4 linked regions of the Arabidopsis thaliana genome follow. The protein of the gene in region 4 interacts with the protein of the main gene of each other region in a pairwise test. Each region holds a gene or a part of one and is shown on either strand. Other genes may lie near its edges. The genes, in order: BHLH100, AT2G40450, AT5G53880 and ARR3.

The links.
Region 1: the proteins of ARR3 (region 4) and BHLH100 interact in a two-hybrid assay, tested with the Arabidopsis thaliana proteins (one large-scale study listed by BioGRID).
Region 2: the proteins of ARR3 (region 4) and AT2G40450 interact in a two-hybrid assay, tested with the Arabidopsis thaliana proteins (one large-scale study listed by BioGRID).
Region 3: the proteins of ARR3 (region 4) and AT5G53880 interact in a two-hybrid assay, tested with the Arabidopsis thaliana proteins (one large-scale study listed by BioGRID).

What each region holds. Positions count from the first base shown.
Region 1 is NC_003071.7:17,196,633-17,201,612, forward strand, and holds BHLH100 (basic helix-loop-helix protein 100), read right to left. Parts: upstream 2,823-4,980; 5' UTR 2,689-2,822; coding exon 2,407-2,688; intron 2,146-2,406; coding exon 1,699-2,145; 3' UTR 1,405-1,698; downstream 1-1,404. Other genes in the region: AT2G41250 (Haloacid dehalogenase-like hydrolase (HAD) superfamily protein), read right to left, coding at 4,230-4,259, 4,353-4,526, 4,628-4,789, 4,874-4,980. UniProt on the Arabidopsis thaliana protein: Plays a role in metal homeostasis. Confers tolerance to high zinc (Zn) and nickel (Ni).
Region 2 is NC_003071.7:16,890,639-16,895,058, reverse strand, and holds AT2G40450 (BTB/POZ domain-containing protein), read left to right. Parts: upstream 1-2,084; 5' UTR 2,085-2,268; coding exon 2,269-2,406; intron 2,407-2,543; coding exon 2,544-3,035; downstream 3,036-4,420. UniProt on the Arabidopsis thaliana protein: May act as a substrate-specific adapter of an E3 ubiquitin-protein ligase complex (CUL3-RBX1-BTB) which mediates the ubiquitination and subsequent proteasomal degradation of target proteins.
Region 3 is NC_003076.8:21,871,325-21,875,806, forward strand, and holds AT5G53880 (uncharacterized protein), read right to left. Parts: upstream 2,131-4,482; 5' UTR 1,872-2,130; coding exon 1,671-1,871; 3' UTR 1,377-1,670; downstream 1-1,376.
Region 4 is NC_003070.9:22,064,194-22,069,432, forward strand, and holds ARR3 (response regulator 3), read right to left. Parts: upstream 3,041-5,239; 5' UTR 2,979-3,040; coding exon 2,528-2,978; intron 2,451-2,527; coding exon 2,374-2,450; intron 2,302-2,373; coding exon 2,224-2,301; intron 2,145-2,223; coding exon 2,074-2,144; intron 1,996-2,073; coding exon 1,701-1,995; 3' UTR 1,424-1,700; downstream 1-1,423. Other genes in the region: AT1G59950 (NAD(P)-linked oxidoreductase superfamily protein), read right to left, coding at 3,840-4,067, 4,473-4,652, 4,770-5,013. UniProt on the Arabidopsis thaliana protein: Functions as a response regulator involved in His-to-Asp phosphorelay signal transduction system. Phosphorylation of the Asp residue in the receiver domain activates the ability of the protein to promote the transcription of target genes.

The sequences.
Region 1 (4,980 bases), on a different chromosome or scaffold from region 4:
AGGCTTAAGAAATGTTTTTTACTGCAAGCAAAGAGAAAAGGTAGATGCATGAACATCCCAATGCTTTTTAGATGTTATAGGTAAGTTGACGGGGACCGGAGGCTGATGTACTTTCCTGTTGTACATTGTTTTGTTGGAGTCCCAATGAGGTCCTTTGTCTACATTTCTCCTCCTTGAGAAAATCACAAACTTACATTAAACAAAATAAAATTTTAAAAGACTTCTTTTTTAACTAACAGAAAAGAATTGGCTATTATCTATCATTTTCTTCAACCAAAATAATTGAATTATGTAGTAAAATAGAAGAAATTCTCATATTAGATAGCAGGAACAATTGATAAACTAAACCAACAGAAAAAAGGAAAAAAAAAAGGGAATAAAGTCAATAAACAGTATAGGTAAATTATGTTTAATTTGATAATTTTGAATAATATTTTAACTAGCAAATTTCACTTCCTGCAAAAACATTATTTATCACACTAAAAACACAAAGTTGATAGCCTAATGGTTTATACGAACTCTTTAAAAACGGCAAACGTATTTCAGTAACACAATATTAAATACAAGATGTAATATTAATGAAAATAAATAGAGCATTTGCCGAATTTAATGAAATAGTAAAGCAAGTTGGGTGGTGCCAGCAAAATAAAAAATCGAGAAATTTTCATTATTCGTAGATTTTGAATATGGAGGATGCATTGCACCTAACAGCAGTGGTTTTATATGCTTTCCCGTGGATTTGGCCTTTCTTTGGTATTTATTATTTGACCATTTGGTTTATATTCAACATTTTTCTATTTTAAGTAGTTTCATTTTTTATTTGGTCTGCTCCTTCTCAACTTGGTAGGCCTTTACAGCTTCGTTGATGCAGTCGACCCAGAAAAGTTATTCCCTTTGCAGTTTTTGGTTAAAGAATTTATGGTAAGACAAACTAGAAAGAAAGACTTAAACATTTCGAAGATCTTTTGGTTTTCTTTGTATATTATAAATTACATAGCTAGGTAATATAATCGATCATGTTAAAATTTAAGACACTAAAAACTAAATTTGAAAATAAGATTAGGTATTTTATTAGGATATTATTTTTAATTTACAAATATGCTTGTTTTTTTTTTTTTTGGTGCAAACAAATATGCCTTAGTATTTATTTGAAACAAAATGGGCCAAAATTATTCTTCCAATTAAGGCCCAAAAGCGATCATTCACCTAATTTTAGATCAGGCAGGCTTGATAATTGGGAAGATTATTATGTGTTTTTAAACACTGATTCACCATCCATAAGTTATGTGCTTCTGTTTTGATTTCAGGGTTTTTAAATATGTAATTTTGCCGAATCAAACGGAAAAAAATTGAATACGAAAGGTTAAAAAAATGACTTCAGATGATTTTTTTGTTAAAGACTTTCAGATAATTAGTGTCCACATATGACATCGGTGTGTAACCACAGATGTGAGATGACAAATCCTCATAAAATATACACAGATATATAAACCTTTACACTGTTGCACACAACCCATGTTCGCGTTGTTCTCCTTCCAAATCGGTACCAAAACGTTTGCCCGTGAAACTTTCATTTCGCCAAAATAATATAATATATTAAAATTAATATACAAAAAAAAAACCTATTTCTAAAAAGAACCTCGAATTTTAACGAGAGACAAAACAGAAAAAATATATATAGCATCGTTAATTATTAAATCATGTAAACGAGTGTCCACATTTCTCGTACAAGTACAACAATCTATCACCTAATTCTTCGGAATTCACCTGGCCATTTTTTATCTGAAGATGCATAGAGTAAAAGAGTCGCTCTCCATGAGACCTTGAAGATGAAGCACCCACAAGAACCAACCCATCTTCTTCTACACCACTCAAGACATTCCCAAACGAACATTTTTCAGTCTGTAACGATGAAATTTGGACCATCACTTCAGTCTCACTGAGCCTAGTCGAAGAAACTGTCGACGCATAGCTTGTAACCCCTTCCTCTGACTTACTGTTTTGGTCGGTGTAAACGAGATCTCTTTGACCCGAAATTTGAAACGAGAGCTCTTCTTTCTTCTTCATGAGCTTTTTAACTTGCTCTTGCAGCTCTGGTATGTACTTCAATGCTTGTGAAACTGTTGCCGAAACACTTAACTTCTTCTGCAAGAAAATACATAAAAAATAGGACAGATCTTTCAGTTTATGTTACTTGGGACCGATTTTTTTTTCCTTCTTTGCGTTAGAAAAAACAAAACATATCACTGTTTGTATCAACACCAAAATTGCAAAAGCAATGAATAACAACTTTTAGCATTTGCAAGAAAACATTTGATATTTTTTTGTTTCTGTTGAATATTAAACTAAACTTTCAAATTTTTTCATAATTTTAGAAATAGAAAAGTATATAGAATTAACAGTTACCGTTTGATTGGTGGGAGGAAGACAAGAACGAAGAGATGAGAACATTGTGTTGATCTTCTTGCGACGCTCACGTTCACTCGCGTTGTGATTAAGCTTCTTCATCACCACGGGATTGTCTAGTAATGTTCTGTTATTCTCAGACGACACATTCTCATGAGTCACCGTCAAGTCCGGCAACGGAAAATCAAGAAACGTGTTGGATACGTCGTCGGTTTCATAGAAGCTATGATCTCCGCAAGGCCAGCCGAAATTGGGATATAATGGAGGGACAAGTGCACACATTTTGAGTTTTAGATAGTTACTCTGTTCTTTTTTGTCTCTCTCTAGAAGCTGTTTCGGTTGGGATTATGCTGATGTGTTAGTTGGATTATTTATGTGGACACTCATTTTTGTTTATATATACACTGATACACACACACGGACACAAGAAAAATACTAATGACTCTGTGTTGTATATGTAATAAATTAAAATACATTGGGTCACGAGTGGACATGCGTTGACACGTGGTTGAGCACTTTTCCCCCAAGTAGGAGCATGTTCCAAGGATCACCTGTTGACCTCCGGATACAGGCATTAATATCCTAATGTTCTTATCGTAATTTATAACATAAGTTTACACTATTGTATCGTATAATTACATGAATATGAATGTATGAGTATTAATCAAAAATTCTAAATATTTTATAATGTGTCAAAATAGAAATTCGATTTATTAAGCAAATTATTTAGTTAGCAAAAAATAACAGTTAAATAGGAACAACTACTATAAGAAGATACAGAATATGCAATCACATTTTTCTACCACAAATACGTTAAGTAAACTAAGACCAAAAATATGAATTATGACGCAGCTGGAAGAAAAGAGACAGACACTGAGAAGAAGTACACGAGGATACACGGGTTTGGTGGACGTGGACTATTGAGAGGCACGAGCAAATCACGTGGAATATGTTAAGGCTTTTCTCCTGAATCCAACCATTTCTATGTAGTATATACGTAGGCATTAAGTGTTTACAAATATTTAACAAATGTATATTCCTTATTTAAATTTATTAATTACATCTTATATGGTGTAGTGTCTATCGTTTATTTTGTATTATATTATAGCCTTTCTGATCATATTACACAAGTCAACTCCGGTCATCTCGGTCAGGCCAAAAGCCTTGATTCTATTCTATTATCCATGGACGAGGATAAAAGAGAGACGGAGATATTTTGGATTTTTCCTCATTCTATTTACGCCTCTTTAAATCCAAAGATCTAAATGGGCTTCTCTAAAAACAATTGGCCCTAAGATAATTGCTTTTTCTTTTTCTTTTTTTTGCAATGAGTTTACATGTTTGTAGCCCATTATATGTAGATAATCTCTAAAATGTGAAGTATTTGACTATTTGTCAACAATTATGAACATAATGTTAAAATACAACCCACAATAATCACAGATACAGTTTGATTAGATTTATCCATTGATATGTTGGCAACTTTTGGTATTGTCCATACGTTGCCTAGGTTCAACTCTAAATTTCCATTTTTCTTGATCTCTTCTTGATCACATATTTAAAGAACTCAATTCTCCTTCTTTTATAAGCAAATGTCGAAAACAGTACAACACTTCGGTTCGGATTAAGAACGATCATGAAGCTTATTATTGATCTTTTATTATACATTGTTTTCTGGTTTTCTACATTAGCCGCAACATATATTACACACATTATGCTACAAAAGAGAAATGGAATATACAAAACTGCTCACACAAAAAAAGAAGAAGCTAAAACTGAAGTCTGAACATGTCTCTGAACCATTTCTCTCATATGCTTTTGCTTCAGACCTTCACTCCTATCCGTTGAGCAACCTGCAGAACAAAACAAAAGCACATTCATTTCAAGTAAACCAATGATTTTTAAATTCTTGAGAGATTTGAGCAAAACCAGAGAGATTCGTTTACCTGTTTAAATGACGTAACTTCACTTCCCCAGAGCCAAGCGTCACAGCCTGCGTCTCTAGCTCCCCATACATCATTCCTACGGTCATCTCCTACATGAACCGCATCCTCGGGATTCACTTCTAATAACTCACAAGCTTTTAAGAAGATAGTCGGGTTTGGTTTTTCCGCTTCAACCTGTTAAACATTCAACCAAAAACCTTAAGTATTTACACACTCACTCCCAAAACGTTTCGGATCATCAACAAAAATATATAAACGAAAAGAGGTTATCTTACTTCTGCTGAAACAGCTACAGCATCAAACCAATCTTCACATCTCAATGCACGTAGGAGAGGTCTTAACCGAGTATCGAAGTTGGAGACTATTGCAACTTTTACACCCGCTTCTTTAATAGCCTTAAACACTTTCCCTGCATCTGGATCACATAACTTCCACGCCTGGGAAAGCAAATGGAGAAATCTCAAGAGAAAGAACCAAAACTATTACTGAAGCATATGGAGAAGTAGTAGTAGAGATCAAACCTGTTCTGTAGTAAAATAGCTGTAAAGCTCTTCAAAGTACTGTGAATCCGAGCAGCCTGTTGATGCAGTCACTATATACTGCCAGAAAGGTCTTGCATCGTTTACAT
Region 2 (4,420 bases), on a different chromosome or scaffold from region 4:
TGCAATAACTCAATGGTATCATTGTGTTACAAAGGATTGTCAAACTTATTTCTAACCCAAATGTAGCAAAACAATGTGTGAGATTACGTTACATAAATAAAGTTTGTTAATTGTTAACCATAACACAAACTCTAAAGTTCATAATTCCGGATATTCAACAATAATACTGAATCTTTTCATGATATATTCTGGTTCTGCGGGAATCTTATGCAGTCGCGGTTCGCCGAGACTGTGAACAGTCCCAAGAAGCAAGTCCAGGTACACCCAAAAAGCCTGACGGTTAATTTGTTAGCATATGGTCAAGAGCCGTGATAATGGAGCAAAGAGTACAAAAGAAGATTAAATGATGACAAAAGATTTGCACGAGGGTTAAGGATACGACTGAAAACGATTTGACAGGCTTGCTTTGTTGGCCTCACATTGCAACTTGCAAAGAATTGAAACATGAGCATGAGGTAACTTAGGTTTTAGCTATTAGATATCTATGAGAAGGACATTGAGAGACATTAAGGGTTAAACGTATAACCACTAATAGAAAAAGATTCTTTCTCACTTCGTACATTTCTCTTGACTATAACAAAGGCAGTGCCAAAGTGGTGCATTGTACTGTTAACTGTTAAAGATAATGTTTCCTACAGATTACTCGATGCGACAAGACCTTGCTGTTTCCACCATTCATAGGTTCCTAAGCTTTCTATTATGACGTGTTTTGTCCTTCCATATGTCTATTTACAACCATAATCATCTTTTGTATACACAAAGACTGTGGATATGTGTGTATTAATGGCCCAGTGAAACAGAGCCAATCACGAAACTTTGCTTGTGGACCACTCTTCTATCTTTTTAAGGGTGAGAAACAGGAATTTTATTTACTATAGGCCCGCCACTAGATGTAACCTCCTCTTTTTGCCAGATCAACCAATAAACATCTTAGTAGTAAGCTCTTCGCTGTTTGATATAGTCCTCAGGGATCGTATGCAATGAAATATCAAAGTTAAACAAAAGTTAGATTTTAGGGAGAAAAAGCTTATTTACCACACATGTTAAACAATTTGAACCCATTTAAGGGTACATATGGGAAATGTTGTCAAACACTACTATAGTGGTGAGATGCAAATTATAATACTAGAATATCTCATGAGAAATTTGATGTTCTAAATATAACATAAAATGGAATCTAGGCATGCTCTCTTCTAACTAGGCAGTGTACTAGTCTCTCAGAAATGATAGCAGAACACTATTATCAGTAAAGTGAATGACACAAAAACAGCAAAGATATCAGTGTGTAACAGAAGATACACAATGATCATTAAGACTTTAGATTGGAACAAATGAAACGTACATATCATGTTATAAAAATTTCAACCAGAATATGTCATGGTGAGTAAATAGCTACAGATTCCTGAAATTCCTTTTCATGAGTGCTCGTAAGGGTTTTGTTCTATTTTCATGTGCTCATTGTGTTTACTTCCTGTCACAACTTTCGATCGAAAACATTAACAAAAATTAGGAAAGGCTCATACCCATACCAACTATTTGCTTCAAACAATTCGATGGGTGTGATTACTTTCATGGATTTATCTATCATATATGTTGTATACTGTTACATCCTTTTCAGAAATAGAACAAGCCACAAGAAGATAAAGAAGCATAACAGATTAAAGCTGTAGCTTGGTTGGCCATTACAGAAGGAGTTTCTTCAACTCCTTTATTCTTAATGTGTAAACAGAGAACAGCTCAACAATTTTGTCTTCAGGTTCCCAAGAGAAGACGGGAGATTCGGCTAGGCTTATTAACGTAAGAAGAGATTCAGACGACGTTGGGACAATCACAATGATCAAATTCCATTCTCCGTCATCTGAATCATCATACTTCGCATTCCTCTGTTTTGCGTACAATTTACGTTACTCAATTAATTAATTGGACCGGTTTAAGTCGATTGTTTTATTGGCCTTTGTTGGTTTTGGCCCAACAGAAGAATGTTTTATGGGTTTAGTTTAAAGCCCATTTGGTTAAGTATGTTAGTTTAGTTGAGGCAAGCTGCAAGTAAAGTAGTTGGTAAACTCTAAAGCTAGGTTTTTAACCTTTGCTTCTAATCTTAGACTACAAACCCTAAACCATTGGCCGCGTAAAAAACCATTCCTCGACTTCCGCCGTCAATTTCTCCTGGATAATTGTTCTGGTACGCGAATAATACATAGTATAGTGCCCTAACATAACATCGACCAAATCACATTCAGGTTTTATATATTTGGTTTGCAAACTGCAATGGCTACACAAAGCAACAAAGAGGCTTTCTTAGGTGGATTTAAGAAACTCTTGAATGAACAATGGCAAGCCGATGTACGTCTCAAGGCAGGAGACAGTGATGAGACTACATCTATTTTCGCCCACAAGCTTGTCTTGGTTTCTCTACTTCCTCTTCTCTTTTATTTATCATCATCCAATTATAGGGAAAAGTTACTTATTGTGTAGCAATGTTTTTGAGAGTGTCTCTTACTTGGGATGTTTTTCATTGTTGACATGAATGGAATATTGAATAGGTGGCAAGATCAGAGGTGTTTAAGAAGATATTGGAATCAGACGAGTTCAAGGCTTCATCTAAACAGATGGAGACAGTCACCCTCTCGGAGATGAAACACGAAGAATTGGAGGCTTTTGTGGAGTTCATCTATAGGGTTGATGGCTCCATTTGTTCTGCTAGTCTCAAGAAACATGCTCGTTCACTCTTTCATGCAGCCGACAAATATGAGATTCCGCATCTAAGAGACCTATGCAGAAACGAGCTTATATCATCTTTGAATTCGTCGAATGCTCTTAGCATCCTTGAGCTCGCCCAAATCCCTTTTGACAAAGCCCTCAATGATCCCGCCTTCACTACTATCATAACCAATATAAGTACGATTGCTAGTGGTGATGAGTTCAAGCTGTTTGTCGCCAATCACCCAAATCTTGCCGTGGATATAATGAAGGCTTCTATAACTAGACTAAGTACTAGCAGAAAAATCTGTGGTTACTGTAATCGCTACTACTAAAAGAACCATAGCGTTGCTTTTGTTGTTTCCTTTCTCATTTTTTCTTTGTTAAATTGTTTCATCTCTTTTTGATAAATGGTTTTATCATTTTCAAGTGATTTGACATAATTGTCACAATATCGACTTCGCGGATATCACCATTTGCATAGTATCCATAGTTTGCCAATTTGTGTCTAAATTGTGCCGCCTCTCAGAAAGATTAATGAGCATTGGGATAAGAAAAGAAAAAAAGCAAATAATCAATCTTGACACTAAGTTTTGATTTGTTTGATCTCTTAGTTCTTCTTATGTCCAAAAGGAAATAAACAGAGAGATTGTTAAAAAGTTTAAAGCTCAATTTGAGCAAGCTTTTTTTTTTTTTTTTTTCGTCGCAAGCTTTTTTAGTGCATTCCTATCATTCTTTCCTGACTATAAGTAAGGTTCCTATTTTATAAAATCTTAGCTAGAGTCTTTTAGATTCTTGTTTAGTGTGCCATACACAGAAGTGCAAGAGACAGTAAGAAGAGGTAAACAAACCATAACACAAAACTTAAAATTCTGTATTCGTCTGATAAAGTCTCCTATTAATGAGTGCAAATTAAATTCCGAGTTCTAATGTATTAATGTCTCCTTGACCAAATCCAAAAGTCTTGGGAAAAGAAAGCAAAATAGTAATTTTGACCGCCTAGGTTCTATATATAATAACCCACAATCGTTAACTAAATCATATCCACGATATATACTTTAAAAACATGGCAACAGAAACCAACAAAGAGCTTTTCGTGGGTGGATTTGCAAAGATTTTGAAAGAACAACGTCAAGTCGATGTACGGCTTAAGGCAGGGGACAGTGGTGATGAGGGTGCTTCTACTTCTGCCCATAAGCTTGTTCTGGTCTCTCTACTTCGTTTCTCCTTTTAAATCATCATCTAATTTCATAAAGAAATTCATCCAAATGCTCTTACTTGAACTGATTTTCATTGTTAATTAATGCTCTTTTCTTGATATAATTAATAGTCTGCAAGATCAGAGGTGTTTAAGAAGATGTTGGAGTCAGACGAGATCAAGGCTTCGGCTCAACTAGAGACAATCACTCTCTGTGAGATGAAACACGAAGAATTAGAGGCTTTCATTGAATTCATATACAGCGACGGCTCTATGCTTTCTGCAAAAGAGAAGCAACACGTTAGGTCACTCTATATTGCGGGGGACAAATACGAGATTCCGCATCTACGAGACCTATGCAGAATCGAGCTTATATCATCTCTTAAATCTTCAAATGCTCTTGACATCCTTGAGCTCGCCCAAATCCCTTTTGACAAAGCCCTTCATGATTCCGCTTTCTTTTTTTTTTTTTTTTTTTTTTTTGGATAACCCAGGTATCCCAAGCCCAATGGGCTCAGACTA
Region 3 (4,482 bases), on a different chromosome or scaffold from region 4:
TTATGAGATTACGAAGAATCAAAGAAAATCTCTGAAATTTACAAAAATGGAATACGAAGATTAGTGACAGAAGACTTTCTTTCTTTATATCAAAGAGATTTTGTTTGGTAAGGTAATAATAATTTTGAAAGTTGTGAAATAAAATTGAAGGCATTTATGTTAAGAAGACGTGTGAGATTTGACTCACGTATTAATTCACTTCCCATAAAAATTGATTTGATTAATGGATTTATCTATTTAATTATTAGTATTTTTGTTAATGATGATTTAAATTTGTTAAAACTATTGACAAAATGGGCTGGTTTTCCATTTTTAGTTTGATTTCATTTATATGAAAGCTATTGAGTCTACTTGTATAGTAGTGATTAGCTCTTTATATGATTCTACTTTCGGATTGTTGTTTCTGAATTCTAAACTAGCCAGCTAGGTGCTAGCTATTACTTCCTTATTTGTAACTTGTAAGGAACGGACTTCGGGGACTGGATTTTTTTAGTGAGATGTGGTGGGCATTGTTAATTTCGAAGCCCAAGTTAATTTGAATAGCTCACGAAGATGGGCATGTGATTTGAATAAATCGTGTGGAAAATGCTTTGAATAAATACAATATTTCAGTTTTCTCCAAACATATCAGATTTTAAATACGTCGAGATCACATTTTTCTTTTCTTTTTTGTTAAACTATTTTCTTCCGAAAACTACCTTAGTTTTTTGGTGAATAAACACATTTGAGTTAACATGTATCTTGGCCAAAAAAAAAAAGTTAACATGTATCTTAAACCCTACTAATTTTATGAATACGCGCGATCACATGGATCCAAAATATGGAGTGATTGAGAGAGAAAGATAGGAGACACACTTAGTGAGGGAGACCCAATAAGGTCGAGCTTGTTGAGATGTGGGTATAGAAGAATAGTCACACTGTTGATTAAACTACATTGGTGACTGGTGAGTATATGTTTTAAGCCCTTTTTCTATTAGAAACACCATTCATTTTCGGTGATTATTATGGTAGTTGATATACTACTAACATAGACAAATTGGATCGGAGTGTTTTTGTATTTGCACTAAGAAAACGAATTCATGTATCGCTTTCCAGACCATAGTTGTTATATCATGAATTGGCGTTTTTAGATATAGTGAAATCTTTAGACAAAAAAAAAAAGATAGAGTGAAATCTAACCGATCCAAATTAAAGTAACCAAAATTCAAAACAAGAGAAAAAACAAAACCAAGACTTAAATATATATTTAGAATCTTATAAATTCTTGATGTAGATAATCCTTAAAAAAAACATGTTTTGATTGATATTCTTGTTTACTTTTCAGTGAAACTCTATGAACAACAAAGATAAAAGTGAATTTTATTTAGCTCAAGCCCAAAAAGAACTAGATTCAGTTTTTAATTGGTTCATACACTTACTTAAATAAGTAGGATTTAATTAAATTCATTAAAGGAAAATTACGTAGAAACGATAAACATAATCTTCCACATCTTGATCATAAGAGTAAATTCAAACAAGAGAATGATATAATATAAGAGATTAAACCATAATTTGCCTAAAAAGGTTACCAAACCATAAAAATAACATGTTATTACTTGCATAATCATCAAATAGCAGATAAATAATAATAAAAATGGGATAATTAATTACATTTTCTCAAAGTAGAGTTTTCACTCAGCCTTCTCTGCTTTGGTTTCCTTCTTCTCTTCTTTCTTCTCTTCTTTCTTCTCCTCTTTCTTGATCTCTTCTTTCTTCACCTCTTTCTTCTTCTCCTCCTTTGGTTTTGTATCTCCAACAGCTTTTGGTTTGCCCGGCTTTGGTTTCATGAAGCAGAAGCAAGAGCAACATGGACACTGGAACAAGAACTTCATTTTCTCTCTTTCTCTCTTTCTCTCTCACTTATCTTCTTCTTTTCTCTCACACAATCTCACTCACACATAACACATTTGCTTACTAAGCTTTAATGAAAGTAGAGAATTGATTGGGTTTGTTTTTTTGGGTTACTTATTACTGTGCTTTTTTGACATTTCTCTAACAATTCTGTCTTTTTCTTCTCGTTTAATAATGATGCTTTCATTTGGTCCCACTCCATTGAATTTTAGTATCATTCTCCAACCAATTCTTTTTTTATTTTCAATCATGTTTCTTTGTAAACCGCATATACACAAAAGACACACGAGCTTTAGCTCGGCTGGAGTGATAGTGTACTGACGGTGGCCAATTTGTTTGTGTATTATAACTAAATAGATAACTTCCATAATAGTTTTTCCTTACGTATTCACACCATCTTTGAAATTATAGTTTGAACTGTCATTTAGTTTTAGGGGAGATTAGCAAATCTTATATATAATGGTCTTTTTAACTGTAATGTAGCATAAATTTTCGAACTGCGGATGCATGCTTTCGTTTATCCGTTTGACATTATGTATCAGAGAATGACAATTTTGACCTAAACGGTGCAACCCCATTAGATCACAAACATTTTTTTAATGAAATCGATTTTGTATAACATATAAACGATGATTTTGATAGTGGTTATAAAGGGGATGGTAATGGAAGTACAGAATAATGGAGGGAACTGATACTATGTAATGTAATGTATGTCATGTGGGAAAACACTTGGTTCTAATTTACTTCTTTTTACGTATATTCATGAATCATGCATATTTCTTTGGAAAAAGTATATTCATAGGATTGATAATAATTCGAAAAAGGACTATATTACTTTTGGATCTTTATGTGTATTATCATATGGTTGGATTCCACTTCGGTCTCTTTCAAACCAAGTGGATGGCCGCCCTACTCTGATTTATATATCTTTTTTATGAACGATTTTCATTTTTTTCTAGTAAATTCTTTGCAATATCTTATAATATACTCAAAAGTGCATTTTCATACACCATTTAGATTTTTTTCGGCTTTCCTCATCCAGCGAAAAGACTCATATGGGCTGGGCTTAGAATATGAGTCCATATTCATCTTATCAGTTGTTATTTTATGATGAGTAAATAACAGGCCATCCAAACCTGAACGTTTTTTCTTAGATTCGATTATGGTTTGAGCTAATTCACTCGCACCCGATCTGAATAATCCAACTTTTTGGGTAAAAGTAATTGAAATTCTCCATTTGACTCAAGATAATTTATTCGACTGAACCATTTCTTAACTATTTTCAACATTTGTTGAAGGATGAATGGTTCTCAACATTTGTTTGGTTATTTATATCTTGGTCAGTCGAATGAAAAGACCAGACAAGGGTCATCTTTGTTTTTGGGTTTGGTATGTCACATGTCTATTGTAGCCTATATAGATCCTTGTCTTCTTTGACAACATAATACAACTCTCACAAAAGTTTAATACACGTTTTGGAGAGATATTATAGTTGTATCTCTCTACATTCTTTGTACTAGCCAAACCGGATTATCTTAGATATGTAAGATAGGTCAATTAGCTACACCAATAGTATGACGATTACGACAAATTAAGGTCATTAAAATGAACTAAACTAATCAAAGACTAATAAAAATAGTGATTGAGTTGCGATAGATTCGAGGTTCGATCTTAGAGAAGACTTGAAAACCAAACAAAGTAGGAGGCCGATAGGTGTACGGTTCGATGACTTCACGTGATTTGCGGTGTGTGATCAGTTGACTATACAATACATTATCAAAAGACATCACTCCATTTTCGATGCTCCCAAACATTACTTTAATTCACTTAATACTATACTATATGAAACTCATATATATGTACATTTTTTATTAACGTTGTGGTGCACTCACCATAATTTTATGTTATAAACTACTTCAAATACATAATTAAGTACAGTCAAGAGTCTCTCTCCAGTTTTATCCTAACATTACTCAGAGACTATTCATAGTATTAGTATTAATTTGTTGTTGTATGGTTGTATCAATTCTCTTTCACCAACAAACTCTCACACATGAGAACACACACATCTTCACTCTTTGTCTCTTTCTCTTATTCTTAACCAGTTGATAACCATGGTTTTGATCCCGGTTTAGCAAACCGGTTTAATCTCGAAGTCACTTCCAAAAAAAATTAAGAGGAGTGTATTTGCAAACAAAAAAAGACCAAACAAATAAGCATATCATCAATGAAAACTGTAAAAGTCACGTGGGACCCGTGGTTATGGCTTTTATGGTCAGGATTTCAGGTTCAACGGTTCCACATCTTTCACGGCATCGGTCCCGTGACGTCCGCCTGAAAGTCCAAACTGAACCCACACGGCTCTAAGGAACGTCACTCTCCACGGTCCACGTGCACCGCTAGTAGCCATGATGCGTCACAACTTTCACGAGACGTCCGATACAAATTTCAAAAGTCTATGTGGGTTGAAACAGTTTGCATATGCAAGTACTTATGGTAATATGTAATAGTCATAAAATATCTACTCATTTCTGTTTACTTGAAAAAGTGGGGTTTTCAGTTGACTTTTTTAGGTGAAATATTGTTAAATAG
Region 4 (5,239 bases):
TGAAATTTACAATACATCAATAATAACTAGTTGCATAAAAAACCTAAAAACTTCATATATGTTTAATCAGTTTTTTTTTATGTAGAGAAACTACTATTTAAAAACAGAGGGAATAGAGGCAAGTGGAATGTACCGCATTTTCTGCTTTTTTAGTCAAAACTCAAAACCAAAATATAAAAATTCGAATGCTTATAAAAGTTGGGAAATTTTGTTTTGGAAACATAAGTTACGACATTCTAAAGAATAAAGAGAAACTTTGCCTAAATCTCATTTAAAGTACTTTTACAAGTTACTAAGAAAAATGTCATTCACTGTTTTTTGTTTTGCATGTTCTGTATAGAACCCCAATTAAAAAATTGTAGAAGAATAATTGGCCGTACCTTAAGGGGACAAAAACAGAAATCAAAATGAGAAGAAGATAAAAGTAGAATAATCACATGTTTAGTACGCCAAACGTGGGGAGTATCTTTGAGCTGATTCTGTTGTCTACAATGATTATTTGATTTTGATTCATTGCATTTGCCTATCAATTTTCTTTAATATCCAGTGCCTCCTTCTAAGTTCCAATGGGTAATGTAAGGGTCTTGCTAATATAATAATGCCGTACGTTATTATATTATTCGATTTGATCCTTCATTCTGAAGAAAGTTCAAAATATTATATGCATCCTCTTTTTAAATAGATATTGTGGTCGTGGTGTGAATCAAAGATATGAGTTTGTGAGTGATTAGGAGCTAAAATGTATACTTAATGTTTTTAGTAGACCTCCTAAGATTAGATATGAATCCATAATCCCCATGATTACATGTATTTGGACAACATTTTATTTCTTCTAATTTGTAGCCATGCATGACCACATAACCTTGAGTTAGATATGATTCATATGAATCATAATTAATCCCCATAATACCATGGTTATTCAACCGTTTTCATTTCTAATTCGTAGCCATGCATGCGTGACCACATGGTCATGGTTTAGCGACATGTGATTGTGAAATATGTGGTCGTAGTCACCAACTTAGCCACTACCTATTCAATGATTAAAATTAAAAAGACCACCAACATGTTCAACATAAGTTGTTAGTTATTATAGGTGTAAATATTACAAGCCGAGTTTCAATAGTATGTGTAGTTTGCAAATGATTTTATTACTATTTTGTGTAGTCTTCTCTAATAGACAGTTATCACACAAAAATTAGTGGTAGCTAGAGTAAGTAGTTGAAAATATTCATAGAAGCCATGCGGAATATTTGAGAGTACATTTTCAAAAATATATCATAATAATACAAGATTTGGTTCTTAATATCAAAGACTATAGATTAAAGAAAAGTATCCTCAAGTCGGTACATTATTGGATATCATACTATCAAATAAATGCTAATCGCTGGCAAAATCTCAAAAGTGATTAGCAGACGATATGAATACACAGAGGTAAACTGTCACACATTATTTGATTATTATGATATTATTAGAAATAGAAACATTATTTAATTTTAAAATTATCAAATATACGTAATTAAATAAATACAATACTTGTTTTTATAAAAGTTCCTTCGTGAGCAAAGAGACCCCACGTGCAACGATATAAAAAGAGAGAGAGAGATCTATAAGTATAAACTGACGGCGTTCAAGTCAACGTTGCAGTCAATAAAACCGTCAAAAGTAAAAAGTTAACGGAGATCGTTATCACACGGATCTCTCTAAGCTAATCCGGGACTCCTCATCGGCGAATCCACAAGCGAAGTTGCAGACTCCGGCGACATTGTCAACGAATCTTCATCGTCAACCATAGACAGAGGCGATTCCACCGTAGAGTCCGAAGATTCCATCGAGGATGTGGCTGAGAGCGGAGGCGGCGGCGGTGGAGTGGTCAGCTTCCGTTTGTTTCCTTCGGCGGCGACTTTAACGTCTCTCGTCAAGTAACTCCTCAGACGTTTCACGTCGGCGAGTTTCACCGGTTTTAGTAAAAAATCCTCCGCACCTTCTTCAAGACATCTACAACAGATTTATTGATTAAATTTCCGATCACCAAAATCGGAATCAAAAAAAAAAGATTCCGGCGAGAGATTTGACCTGTCGATACGAGTCATTACATTCTCCGACGACATAATTACAACAGGAACTTCCTTAAAACTTGTCGATTCCTGTTTTTTAAGAAAATCAAGAATTGAAAAAAAAAAAAAGTAACAGAATTTGTTTTTATGGCGGGAAAATTTCAGAAACCTTAATCTTTTTCAGAAGCTCGTATCCAGTCATTCCAGGCATACAGTAATCAGTGATGATCAAATCCACCTTCAATCTCTGGTAAAAATAAAGATCAAGATCAGAATCTAGAATCTCAAAATGTTTTAAAACAGAGTTATGAGAGATTACATCGAATTCGACGGCGGCTTTGTCGTCGTCTAATCCTAAGAATTCGAGAGCACGCCATCCGCTATCAACCGCCGTGACTGCATTGAATCATCGCCGGAGAATAAGGCTTTTAAAATGTTAAAGGGGAAAGAGGAAGAATTACTAGTTAAGAAACCTTTGCAGGATGTGATTCGAAGCAATCTTTCGATGACTATTCGATCAACTAGGCTGTCATCAACGGCGAGAACGTGGACTTGATCAGAATCTAGCGGCGGAGATTCAAGTTCTCCGATTCCTATACCGATCATCTCCGACCTTCGTAGACAAGAAACGCCACCGTCTTTGGCCATAGTGAGAAAAGAGTAGGAAATGAAAAGATAGAAGAGAGATATTGCTACTAGTTCCTCTCTACTTTGTTTTATATTTTCGTTGTTATACTCTTCTATATCAAATCTTTTTATAGGTGGATCATTTTCTACTTCATTTCTTTTACAAAATATTTTCTTATTCCAAGTGACGATTAATGACACAAAACGGTACGTACCTTTTTTTCTTTTTTGGGATGGGGGCAGCAAGAAATAGCGAACTAATCTGAATAGGTAAAGAAAGATAAATTCGAAGTTCATGATAAGATATAGATAGAAAGTACCGGTTTTGCTTCTTCTTACTTTTAGGATTGGTACTAAATAGATATACTTGGATTACCAACCAAACCCATAACAAGGGTTGTTTGGTATGTATGTTACTGATTTAATGTTCAAATTCGTCTTTTTGTTTCTCACATGTACTATGCTTTTGTTGTTGTTGTTGTTGTTGTTAAAAACACATTTACTATGTTCAGAAAATGATTTTTATTTTCTTCTCTCTATTTTGATGGACCCTTGAGCTTAATTTGAAGAAAAATCTAATGCATAGCTATGTCTTGTCTCCACTTATAAATACAAACTCTTAGACCATCATAAAATATGATGACCAAAACCATAACAAGTAAATAAAAAGGTTTATAGACAAAGTGAAAGAAACATAAAATCCAAAATCAAGCTTTCGTTTTCTATCAGAAATCCCGTTCAGAAAGACTTTATCGCAATGATGAACAGAGGTTTTTCACAAGATATTGTACATATCATTATGTGATTAATTTAGATGTTTAAAGATTTTGGGGTCCATGTAACATGCTTTGAAAGAAGCTTAAATATTAAAAAAAAAAAAAAAAAGATAAAAGAAAAGGAGAAACATTTCAAACTCAAAATTGCTCTTAAAAGACTTGCATATTCACAAAAGAAAAAAATAAGAAGAAACATTTCTCAAGGTTATAAATTAGAAATGCAACTTTACAAACTAAATAATCAAGACATTTATTTTACAACTACAACATTTATGAAGGTTATACATTGGAAATGCAACTTAACAAAACAAATTAATGCAACTTTACAAACTAAATAATCAAGACATTATATTACAACTGCCCCATAATTCACACATAGTGATCAGATCTCACCGTCCCACATCTCGGTGACAGATTTTATAGGACCTTTCTCCGAGATGTAAACCTCTCCGTCAACGATCCTGCTCTGAGAAATCTCCGTCGAGATTCTCTGTTTCTCCTCCTCTGTCAAAGACCAATCAAATATCTTCAGATTCTCTTCCAATCTGTCTTTCCTAAAGCTCTTCACCACCATGCTCACTCCTTCCTCGTAAGCCCATCTCATACTCACCTAGTCAATTGTCTATTACAACTCTAAAAATGAGCTTTAAATACTTTCATTCCCCAAAACTTCTCCACATCACTCTATTACCCGTTTAAAGAGTGAGTTTTTTTTTTTTTTTTTTTTGGGTCAACGAGAGTGAGTGCACAATATAAAAATGTATCAAACAAATAAATAAGTCAATAGTCCAAAATTAAATATCGCATAAAGATAGTTTTAGCCATTATCACAATAAAAATAAAACTAATTTTCAAATGAATATAACAATGACTTTTGTTTACCGATTTGTTAAAATATTTTCTGTAATTAACAAAATTTTCCTTTAAATTACGACTGTTTTTTTTAATATTTATACGTTAAAAGAAATTTAAAAATGTTTTCGTAAATAATTTTAAAACTGTCTTTGGAGAGTACCTGAGCTACTGTTTTTCCCTTTGCCTCAGCAATTTCTTTGAGAACATCAGACTCCATGATTTTGTGAGTTCCCCAAAACGCTCCTCTCGATCCCAACACCGAATAAGCTGTCACAACAATGCCTTTCGACTTACATAACTCCCTCAGTTTTCTCTGTTGCCATACTGGACTCATCTCCACCTTTTTCACATTATCCACAAACAAATGTTTCAAATTATTTCACCAATCCAATATTTTCTTATAAAAAAAAGGTTGAACTTATTTGATAAATTAAATAAGAGAGAATTTTAAATATACTTGATTGACACTAGGTGGGATTTTTGCTATTGAAAGGATGTGTTGGAGTTTCTTGCATGAGAAGTTGCTTACTCCTATACACTTTGCAACTCCGAGTCTCTGACACTCTTCCATCTCAGACCAAACTGTTTCATAATCCATTGGCAAAAAGTCATCTTCTTCTATAGGGAACTTGTATTTACCAGGTTTCGAGCTAACCGGCCAGTGGATTAGGTAGAGATCGAGATAGTCCAATTTAAGAGTTCTACAAAACATGATATGAAAATGATGATTAAGATCATGCAACCCCGAAATACGCTTTTTGTACTTGGCTTGCAGTCCATAGAAGGCTATCAACAGGAGATCGCATGGTTAAATGGTCGGGAGACGTTACAACGGACTGCATTCTCTGTCAAGGTAACCTCGAAACCCGGGAACACCTTTTCTTTGATTGTGGATACACTTCAGCAGTTTGGGCAGCGCTTGTAAAG